3 linked regions of the Danio rerio genome follow. The protein of the gene in region 1 purifies or fractionates together with the protein of each later gene. This does not show direct contact. Links are inferred from orthologs where the notes say so. Each region holds a gene or a part of one and is shown in the gene's direction. Other genes may lie near its edges.

Evidence for each region.
Region 2: the proteins of polb (region 1) and lig3 purify together in Homo sapiens (affinity purification with mass spectrometry; 3 studies listed by BioGRID and IntAct, counting the BioPlex papers as one, with this or other methods). This does not show direct contact. The link is inferred for Danio rerio from reciprocal best matches to the Homo sapiens genes POLB and LIG3.
Region 3: the proteins of polb (region 1) and parp1 purify together in Homo sapiens (affinity purification with mass spectrometry; 4 studies listed by BioGRID and IntAct, counting the BioPlex papers as one, with this or other methods). This does not show direct contact. The link is inferred for Danio rerio from reciprocal best matches to the Homo sapiens genes POLB and PARP1.

The regions. Positions count from the first base shown.
Region 1 is NC_133183.1:3,692,963-3,696,702, forward strand, and holds part of polb (DNA polymerase beta), read left to right. Parts: coding exon 1-66; intron 67-155; coding exon 156-226; intron 227-2,543; coding exon 2,544-2,630; intron 2,631-2,719; coding exon 2,720-2,796; intron 2,797-3,740.
Region 2 is NC_133180.1:66,745,170-66,748,909, forward strand, and holds part of lig3 (DNA ligase 3), read left to right. Parts: intron 1-2,276; coding exon 2,277-2,445; intron 2,446-3,740. UniProt on the Homo sapiens protein: Isoform 3 functions as a heterodimer with DNA-repair protein XRCC1 in the nucleus and can correct defective DNA strand-break repair and sister chromatid exchange following treatment with ionizing radiation and alkylating agents.
Region 3 is NC_133195.1:46,952,305-46,956,444, forward strand, and holds the start of parp1 (poly [ADP-ribose] polymerase 1), read left to right. Parts: upstream 1-1,340; 5' UTR 1,341-1,360; coding exon 1,361-1,483; intron 1,484-4,140. UniProt on the Homo sapiens protein: Poly-ADP-ribosyltransferase that mediates poly-ADP-ribosylation of proteins and plays a key role in DNA repair.

The DNA.
Region 1 (3,740 bases):
TATTGAAAGAACTGGATATAGTGGATCCAGAGTACATCGGCACCATCTGCGGCAGCTACAGAAGAGGTTATTGATTCACTCTTATCCCGATATTTAATATAAGTTATCACATTTTATCATCCTAATGTGCCATAATGGCTTTCGTTAATATTCAGGAGCAGAGTCGAGTGGTGATATTGATATACTGCTGACCCATCCGGACTTCACATCTCAGTCTGAGAAACAGGTAAAGTCTGATATTTTTTAAAGATGGAAATAATTAATAAAGAATGCAGTTTTTCTTCGTTTATTTAGGTTTGGCCAAAAATTAATTGCAATTAAGCACGTCCAAAATAAAACTTTGACATAATTTAGGTGTGTGTATTGTGTGTATTTATGGCATGCATATATTTGAGAAATAGATAGTAATGTAAAAAATAATAGGTATAAAATAAATATGTTTTTGATACAGATTATATATATATAAAAGCAATATCAAACAAGTAGCAGTGGGATATTGCTGTATATCGGCACTGGTGGGAGGCGTGTCTTAGTGCCCCCACCAGTGCCGATATACAGCCATATTGCACTGCTACTCGTGTGATATTGCGTTTATACAACAGTTTGACGGCATAATTGTGTATATAAAACAAAATCAAACATTAAGAGTCTCAAAAACCCTTTTGTATGAGGAACTACTTTCTTCCAGATTCAAATCATAAGCTGACAGTTAAACAGCCGAGTGTGCATCTTTTAACCTTTAGATCTGTAGTGTCTGCTCTTTGCTGGCTGTATGTGGGCGGAGTAATACACAAAGGGTAAAGGGGCTGTACGGGTGCTGATATTACTTAAATATATCACGGCTATCAGCCAATCAGATTTGAGAACCAGACAGAACTGTTGTGTATATATATATCTGTATTTAAATATCTATGTAAGAAAATTGTTTTATATAGTTTTGTTTTTTATATCACACATACATAATAAATATAAATATACATAACACGCACACATATATTATGTCAAAACAAACCTTTATTTTGGATGCAATTAATCTTTGCTTAATCTTTTAATTAATCTTTCCTGTTATTATTATTGCACATCTTATTATTAAATTATTAAACTCACCCACCCAATTTGACTAGTGTAAGAATATTATGACTGTAAAACATATTTAAATAGAATGTGTGCTTATTTAATTACATTAGAGAAATTTTTATTCAGAAAATATTTTAAGGGTCCCAATTATTAATTGTTGACTAAACTAAAAGATCTCATATGACCTTTTGTCAGTATTGTTGTTATTTAGTATGTTTTTGTATAATGTTTGTTTATTTGTATTAAGGCTGGTCGATATGACGGCATATATCATTACATCATTAAAATGTTTTATATTTAATTTAAAATGTTTACACATTTATATTTTCATATTTAAGGTTCATTTTCCTGTTACTTGGGACATATTTGATATCTGTGATAAGATGTTACTTGAGAAATGTTTATAATAATAAGGTCTGTCCACATAAAACTGAAATGTGGCATACAGTGGGATTTGTTGTCCAACTAAAGTTATAATTTGTTTACTACATTTACTACATCAAATAAGATCAAGTCCTTTTTTAAATTTTCAAGCTTATATATTATAAAAAGCACTTTTGTACATTTTCTGGAATAACAACCTTCATAAAAAAAACTATATTGTGTAAGACATCATTACCCGTACAGCCTCTATCAAGCCTCTTCAACTGCTCCAGAATGCAGCAGCACGAGTGGTCTTCAATGAACCTAAACAAACACATGTCACTCCACTGCTAGTCCGTTTGCACTGGCTGCCAGTTGCTGCTCGCATCAAATTCAAAGCTCTGATGTTTGCCTACAAAGTGACTTCTGGCTTTGCTCCTTCTTATCTGCTCTCACTTCTGCAGATCTATGTGCCCTCCAGAAACTTGCGTTCTGTGAATGAACATCGCCTCGTGGTTCCATCCCAAAGAGGGAAAAAATCACTTTCGCTCACGCTCAATCTGCCCAGTTGGTGGTATGAACTCCCTAACTGCATCAGAACAGCAGAGTCACTCGCTGTCTTCAAGAAACGACTAAAAACTCAACTATTTAGTCTCCACTTCACTTCCTAATCTGCAATTGCCTCTCTGAATATCACACTAACTGTACAAAAAAAAAAAAAACTAATACTACTAATACTTCCCTTCTTAGACTTTACAGACCTGAAACTTGCCTACAGCACTTATTCATTGTTGCTCTTAGTTGTGTAAATTGCTTCCTTGTCCTCATTTGTAAGTCGCTTTGGATAAAAGCGTCTGCTAAATGACTAAATGTAAATGTAAATTACCGTGAAATAAACTTTCTTATACCATGAGATAAACATTTGGTCATACCGTTCAGCCTTTATTAGGATTAATTTATGATTATAAACTATATATCGAATTTATATTGGTAATGTTGTCATGAAAATGGCCAGTGAAGCTGATATGTCAGAAAAGCATAAATAAACAAATATTATTATTAATATAACATTATTATTCTTATTATATTACATCATTATTCAGCCGAAGCTCCTTCATGCCGTTGTGGATCATCTGGAGTCCATCGGCTTCATTACTGACACACTGTCTAAAGGAGACACTAAATTCATGGTGAGTCTCTCGGCCGTCTTATTTGTGCATTTCAAATATTAATAAATTATAGTGAATGTGAAATAAAACATGTTTTTTTTATTCTTCAGGGTGTGTGTCAGCTGCAGAAAGAAAAAGAAGAAGAGGAGGAGGAGGAGGAGTCTTTACACCGCCGTATTGATATCAGGTACTTTTGAGTTATTTTACTATCATTGGTATTATATTATTGATATTATTATATTTATGATGTTAATATTATATTATTAACATCTTGAGGTAGTTTTTATTTTTGCAGTTTCTGTTTTTTGTTAAATTTAGAATTATTGGCTTTAGTGATCTTGCATTTATTGTTTATATATATATATATATATATATATATATATATATATATATATATATATATATATATATATATATTTATGTAATTTCTGTATTTATGTGTTTTTCTAAATAATTGCATGTGTATATAGGTTTTATTTCTTTGTTTAATACTTTGTTAATTTATTCCTTTGCCTTGACAACATCAACTAAAACTGATAATAACTAGGTACTTTCTGTCTTCTAAACCAGTGTTTCTCAACCATGTTCTTGGAGGACCACCAGCACATTTTCCATGATTTTTAACCAAACACACCTGATTCAGATCATCAGCTCATTAGCAGAGACTGAAAGACCTGTAATGGGTGTATCAGGCAATGGAGACATCCAAAACATAGCGGTGGGCCTCCAGGAACATGGTTGAGAAACACTGTTGTAAATGTTTTATGAAATGCTGTGATGCGACTGTTTTATACAATTTTACCATTATTTTTCATGCAACAAAAGAGGTTGTGTTTAAGCATGATGATTATGATTTTTATTTTTGTGCATGCAAAAGAGACATATTGGATTATTAAATTCGCTATAATTTCACACCACCAGATTTGACACCACCAGATTCGTTTAAATACAACAAAGTTGCCTATGATTTTAACCTAAAATAAACATTTTACACTGAAGATTTTGCCCATCACTACAACTTAAATGTAAAATGAACTTAAATATATGAACTTAAATCTGAAGTGAACTTAAATATAAAATTATATTACAAATGATCAGTCTAGAATCTCATACTATTATTCAGATTTTTAG
Region 2 (3,740 bases), on another chromosome or scaffold:
CTTTCTAAAGTAACTGTTCAAGTAGAGTCTGAAACATTTTAAGCTTATTCACTTTCTACCATGTCCAAAAGTCAGAAACGCATCCAACTGTTTTGCTTTCATAGAATAAACACTTATTTGAACAGATGCATTTAAACAGCCAATAAGGACCTACTCTGTGTATAGTCCATTTTTAACAGTATAGGAATTGTTAAAGGTCCTGTGAAGTGCTTTGCAATTTGCATTTTTTTTCAATGTTTGGATTAATCTCAACTGAAACATGAAAACAGAGTGGGACATATAGTAGCTCCTCCTCTGAAAAATAAACAACCAGTTGTGTTAGGGTTTATTGGTTTAATTAAAATAATAAAATATAAAAACAAATAAGAGGCATCTTAAAGAAGCGGGGCATGTTAGATACTATAGAACATGTGATTGGTCAGAAGATTTGATGTAAAATGGAGGTATGATCATTTTGGATGATAAAAAGGATGATAAAAAAATAATTGATCCTTTAAGGTAGAAGTGACAAACTGCAAGATTTGCATATTTTGTCACAGTTTTGGAGCACACTAGCTATTAGATATCCTTCAAACTAACGTACTAATACTAACATCTGAAATCTTTTTGTTTTTTTTTAACCGTTAAACCAGGGGTTCCCATATTTTTCAACCCACAACCCCCAAAATAACAGCCAGTGACTCACGACCCCCACTATTTTCAGAGGTGGTTATAGACATCCAAATTTTGAATGCAACAGCTCGCACACACCTATAGGCCTATAAACATTAGCATATTGACAACACAAAAAAGTGCAGCAACTATGTCTCACAACTATGTCATTTTTATAGTCATTTATTCATTTGTTTAATTGAATATTAACCTCACCTAATGAGACTTGGTTGGCACAATGTTTACAGCACAAGTTCATTCTTTGTTTAATTTTTGGAGACAATTTTTATTGTAACTTTTTTTTTTATCTTCTGTAGGTTATGGATGAAATATAGTTATTTTAATAGTTTATTAAACTTGATATTTTAGTTTATTTGGATTAATAGATCAAAAGATTATAATTTTAATAATTTATTAATATTTATTTGATTTTTGGAAATCACCAAGTGACTTCATCTCATTGTTCCTACTTCGGGAACCACTTCTTTAAAGGAGCAATAAAGCACTCAGTCAAGTATACCTTATTTTGTAAAGTGGATTCCACTTTAATAAAAAATAAAGTTGATAACCTTGAAGGGGGAATATGTCTTGACATAATCCACAAAGACATGACTAAGTAAAGTGTGAAGTCATGTGTAATTTTAATTGTTGCATTAGTCTGAATATAAATCCACTCGTCAGGCAGCACTGGAGCAGCGTTTGAGAGTGGACCACAGCGCATCAAGCGAAAAGTATTATCAAAAGAAAAATACACAACTTAAGACACTTAAATGCTTGTGTTAGTACCAGCTCTGTGATGCTCGTCTGCAACTTTATGCATTGGGTTAAATTAAGCTGTCCAGTCTCTGTGTTCAGTCCGTTACAATCATTGTTGAAACCAAGACAGTCAGTCAGGCAGCGTAATGCAGAGAGTGGAGCAAAGCACATCAAATGATAAGTAATTAAAATATTAGACACGCATCTGATGCTTGTATTTGCAGCAGCTCCACATCCATAACTTAACGCATTGGGTTAGATTAGGCTTTATAGCAGTAACTTCCACTGTATCTGTTCAGCTGAGGGAACTGAACCAACCCTGTGACATAGCAAAATTCCAAGATGGCTGCGTCCTAGGTCTACAATCTATAGTAAAACATGCCGTTTTCTGCTAAATGGTTACATTAATCAAGTTTGTTTAATATATTTTCATTAAAGTGGAATCCAATGCACAAAATAAGGTAAACTTAACTGTGTGCTACATTTCCCCTTTTAAGCATGCTTCATTGAATTAAATAAATTTTCCGTATGACACCATAAGTTTGATTTGAAGGTGAAAAAATGTAAAAATGCACAATATTTGCTGATTTCTCTTAATTGTAACACAAACCCTCAGATGCAATTGTTGTTTGTATAGTTTTGTTCATATGTAAATTTTGCAAACTTATGTTTGGATTAATAGATTAAAAAATTATATAAAACTCACACTTAAACCTGCCTATAGACGTTATTCTCTAATATATATAAAGAAAAACTGGTGCAAACAGTAATTCAACATCCTCATTTACTTCTGACATGAGCAACTTAATACCTGGTGTAAACAGACCTATTTGTTCTGTCCCCCTCTTTGTAACCTTTTCTCTCATCAGTTTGGATGCTGTAGACCCCAATGCCTATGATGCCTTCAAAGCCTCCCGTAATCTCGGTGATGTGATAGACAGAGTGCTGCGTAACCAGCAGGATGCTTCTAATGGAACTGGCCCCCGAAAGATCCTCAGCATCGAGGCATCTCTGATGACTCCAGTACAGCCAATGCTGGTATCAATCTTTAATATACTTTAAGGAATAGTTCACCCAAAAGTTTAATTGTCATCAATTATAACTGCCATCCCTTATACTATAAGCACAAATACAGCAACTGAAAAAAAAATGAAAAAATAAGCAGAATAATACTGAAAGCATGAACATTTTCTTAGTATAAGCAAAATAATCTGCTTCAATTTGTTAAATTATTGGCCAATAATGCACACTCGAGGTGTTTTGCACCTGAAGCGTGCATAATTGTCTAACATACTCAAATATTCTGCTTATTCCATGAACATATTCATATTTTTCAGTAGTTCATAATTTTGGTTAATTGTGTTAGTTTTAAGTAATATTTAGATTTTTTAAAATATTTAATTTTGGGTTTTCATTAGGCAAGGTACGTTTATTTATAAAGCACATTACATATACAGTGGCAATTCAAAGTGCTTTACATAAACAGGAATAAAAGAGACAAGTATAAGTAAGTTTAAGCATTACCTGTAAGCATCATCAAACTTAAAGGGGACCTGTTACATCATTTTTTACAAGATACAAAATAAGTCTCTGATGTCCTTAGAGTGTGTATGTGTTGTTTCAGCTCAAAAAAAACAACCCACAAATAATGTTTTATAACTCTGAACATTTTGGTGACTGTCGCTTTAAATTCAAATTAGATTTTTAAAAGAGCGTGGGCCTACAAAATGTTTTTGAATCTGCCAGTGTGCTGACACAAAAGCAAGACTAACCTCCTATGCTAATGGGGGTGAGATCATCACTAATAGGTGGGGCTTTCCCCCTCTGATGACATGTACAAAAGCAGATTGTCAATCAAAGTATTTCCACAGATTGTTTTTATGAAGTGCAATTTATGAAAAAATAAAATGAATACATTTTTGCCACTAGAAGCTGGTTATTTTTACCCACTGTTGCCAAACATCTGTGTTTAAACCCTTATAAAAGTCATTTTTGCATAAAAGGTACCCTCTAAAAAAAACAAAACACTTGAAATGTATCAGTGTGTGTGTGTAATGAATCGTATCTGACTTTCACTTTTCAAATTTAATTACTAAAATAAATCAACGATATTCTAGTTTGAAATGCACTTGTATATCTTTCCAAACGTGTATGATTATTATTTTTTTTTAATTCCACAAAGTTAACAGAATGTATTTTTGGGTTAAGTAAGCAATTGATTCATTGTTACTCATTTATAGATTAGATTCGATATTACGAACATGAAAAATGATGTACATATGTCCTCATTTAGACTAGTTTGTTGGTTCAAAAGCAGTAAAGAGGTTTAGAAA
Region 3 (4,140 bases), on another chromosome or scaffold:
TAGTCCAAATGTATAAGTTAGGGAAAATATTAAATAATTTTTCAAAGAGCAAAATCCAAGAGAAACAAAAAAATGTATAAAATTTTGTGAAATTTTGTAGTTTGTAATTTTCCCCCAATATTTCGCAATAATTGAAGCATATTTTTTCTTTCTATTTCTAAAGATGTTTAGTGACTAAAATATTATTTTATTAAATATATCTGTTTCATCTGTTTTGTTCAAATGCACCAAAATATATTACCTATATTTCTTGATAAATGGGTAAAATATTCATTTTCTAAATGGGGTGTATTCACAATTATGCTGAGCACTGTGTAAACATATGACACAAAACATATAACTAGGCCAACGCGGAATCTGCACACGCAGAATTCCACATAATTTTAGACCATCATTGATTCTGTTTATTTACTTGTGTAAATGTTTTAAAATGTATATTTATTCAGTTTGTAAATTCATTTTAGGATAATTATTGGCTAATGTGAAAATATTCGTATGATTTATTTACAGTACAGTTTGTAAAGTATTATTTTCTGTCTTTTAGTAGAGATATTATATGAGACACTTGCTTTGTTTACCAAATAAAGTGGATCAAATTGAATTTGCATTGTAAACATTAAATACAAGTTAGAAAGCTATTATTTTTTAATTCATATATGAAGGTTTTAGTTTTGATACTCCCAAAATTATTCCATAAATCCGCAGATTTTTAACAAAATTCTTTGCAGAAAAAGTTAAAAAAATGTCCGCAGATTTTTTCTTGCCCTACTTACAGAGGCGCAAAAAAGGGGTGTGCACTATATGCGGGGCTTAGGGGCGCCATACATGGGGGGAGCGGGGGTGTGCCAAAACTATTTTTGAAATTATTAATACTTAAAGTTTTTATTAATCAAAATAAATAAATATTTTTTGTTAAGAATGTTTATTTTGCGTTTAAATTACATGATAATATTGTATTTTATTAGATAAAGAAAATCATACTGCCTAAAGGCGCATAAAATCAAAATCAAATCAAATGGCGCCTAAAAATAAAAGGTATTATTATTATTATTATTAATTTTATTATACCACCCCAACTTGAACCCGCATACCTTTAAGTAAATTTGCAATTGCGCCCCTGCCTACTTAAAAGATTTTTCTTCAGTGTTGAGGAGCTTTGAGTTCGATTAGCTTTGTCTGCGCATATTCTCCACTACTAGAGGAATGTGGGCTCGATTGGTTTGGGCTGGTATTCTGCGCGGGTGCTTCTGCACGCGGACTGACTGCGCGCTATTCCTCATTGCGCTGTAACGTGAGTTGTCGGCCTGTCTGACTAGAATTAGTCTGCAAACTTCTCCTTTTAACAGAAATATCTGCAGAGATGGCCGACTCACAGGACGACAAGCTGTACAAAGCCGAATATGCAAAAAGCGGACGCGCCTCATGCAAGAAATGCAAAGACAACATTGCTAAGGACTCGCTGAGGATGGCCATCATGGTGCAGGTGAGGGAATTATTGTTGTGTGCAACTTTTTGGAATTAGCTCTGCTTCAGAAACATCCTTAAAATTCTATATTTGGTGGAAATGCGTTTGGTTGTGCAGGTATGCGTGGCGAAATGTATAGTAAGTGTACGTACACAAATGAATGAACAGGTTTCTAAGGCCCAAGATGAGTTTAAAGGGATAGTTCACCTAAACATTTTAAATTTGCTCACCCCCAAATGGTTTTAAATTTTTATGAGTTTGTTGTTTTCTGTTGAATACATAAGGAGATATTTTGAAGGAAGCTGAAAACCTGTACCCATTCACTTCCATTGTAGAAAAATACTATAGAAGTCAATGGTTACAGGTTTTCAGCTTTTTCCCAACTGTCTTCTTTTGTGTTTACTGGAGAAAGAATCTCTAATAGGTTTGTAACAGGTGAAGAATGAGCTAATGATGACAGCATTTTCATTTTTGGGTGAACTATCCCTTTAAATGGTCCTCTGTTATCAAATAATAAGCAGTGTTTTCCTATGAATATTAGCTTTAATATAGCTGTGTAATTAGCACAGTATTAGCTGGAAACCAGTTTAATTTGAGAAAACATTAAGGAAATAAATAAAGCTGCACTATTTCAATGCAATAAAGCTCAGTAAAATGTTTAAATTGACTAAAACCTGTTTATTTTCAATACAAGTATATTTATTTCTGAATTCATCATTACTCGCCACCTTATTATTGATTTATTATGCAGCTATATAGATCGTAATATTTCCTAAAACCGCATTTATTTACTAGGGTACACTTTCAGCTAATTAATGTTGAATTATTTAAATGTACTTTTAAAAATAAATGTAACTACCATACTTAAAGTAGATCAGCAGTGATTTCCTATGAATATTAGCCTAAATATAGCTGTGTGATTTTCTGGAATCCAGTTTAATTTGAGAATACATTAAGAAAATAATCAAAGCTGCACTATTTCAATGCAATGAAGCTCATTATTATTTTTAATTGTCTATATCATGTTTATTTTCAATTTAAGTCTTATTAATTTTCTGAATTCATCATTACTCATTGCCTTATTATTGATTTATTATGCAGCTATATAGATAGTAATATGTGCTAAAACCACTTTTATTTACTAGGCTACACTTTCAGCTAATTAATGTTTAATGATTAGGTGTACTTTTTTTAAGTAAACGTCCATACTTAAAGTAGATTAGCAGTGCTTTTCTATGAATATTAGCTTAAAATAACTGTGATTTGCACAAGATTTGCTGAAAACCAGTTTAATTTGAGAATACATCAAGAAAATAAACAAAGCTGCATCATATCATTGTAATTAATCTCAGTAAAATGTTTAAACTGACTAAATTCTGTTTATTTTTTATGCAAGTCAATTTATTTCTGAATTTCTTATTACTCATTGCCTTATTTTATAGATTCATTATAAGCCATAGATTGTAATATGTCAGGGCTTGCAAAGTCTGGTACCTAGATAACCCACCAGGCTTTTTGGTAGCCCGAATGAAAAAACAATAGCCCCAGATTTTGTAAGCCCTGTATGTGCAAAAAACACTTTTATTTACTTTCACCTAATTAATGTTTAATGTTTAAGAGTGCTTTTGCTAAAAAATTAAATAAACAAACTAACATACTTGACTGAGTGAAGCAGGTCAGCAGTGATTTCCTATGAACATTAGCTCAAAACAGCGGTGTGATTTGGACAATTTCGCTGGAAACGTGTTTCATTTGAGAAAACATTTAATGAAACAAAGCTACACTAATTTAATACAATGAAGACCAGTAAAAATGTGGGTCCCACTTTAGATTAAGCAACCTTAACTAAAATGTACTCGCACTGAAATTAATAATTCATTACAATGTACTTCTTGTGTAAATATGTGTTTTTACATGATACTTATGCTTGGTTAAATACCTGCATGTAAATACATCTGTAAGTTCGTTTGTTATTTCACTGTTAATCATTGCTTATACCTTAAACCATAAAGACGCCACCAATCCAGTCCCTAAACCTACCCATATTCCACCTCAGGAGGACCAGAAGTGTTCAGCAATACATCATGAACACATTAAGTGCATTGTATTTATTTTTTCATGTAAGTACATAGTAGTTGAAAAAAAAGTGGGACCAAAATTGTTCAAATTGAGTAAGTCCTGTTTATTTTTCAGTGCAAATCTTTTTTTTTTCTTCTGAATGTCTTACTATTTGACTTGTTTGACGATTTATTAATGTATTGTTTACATTTGTACAATATTTCTGCACCATTAAAGGGGATAGTTCACCCCAAAATTAAAATTGTCTTATTTACTCTGCCTTTAATTGTTCCAAACCTTTAAATTGTTCTGTTGAGCACAAAAGAAGATAGATAGATAGATAGATAGATAGATAGATAGATAGATGGATAGATGGATGGATGGATGGATGGATGGATAGATAGATAGATAGATAGATAGATAGATAGATAGATAGATAGATAGATAGATAGATAGATAGATAGATAGATAGATGGATGGATGGATGGATGGATTGATGGATGGATAGATGGATGGATGGATGGATAGATATTGTAATCATTGCTGTAAAATGCGATATGATTATTTAAATGATGTGCACGCTTTCATTTTCACTGCTAAGTGCTGTTCATACTTAG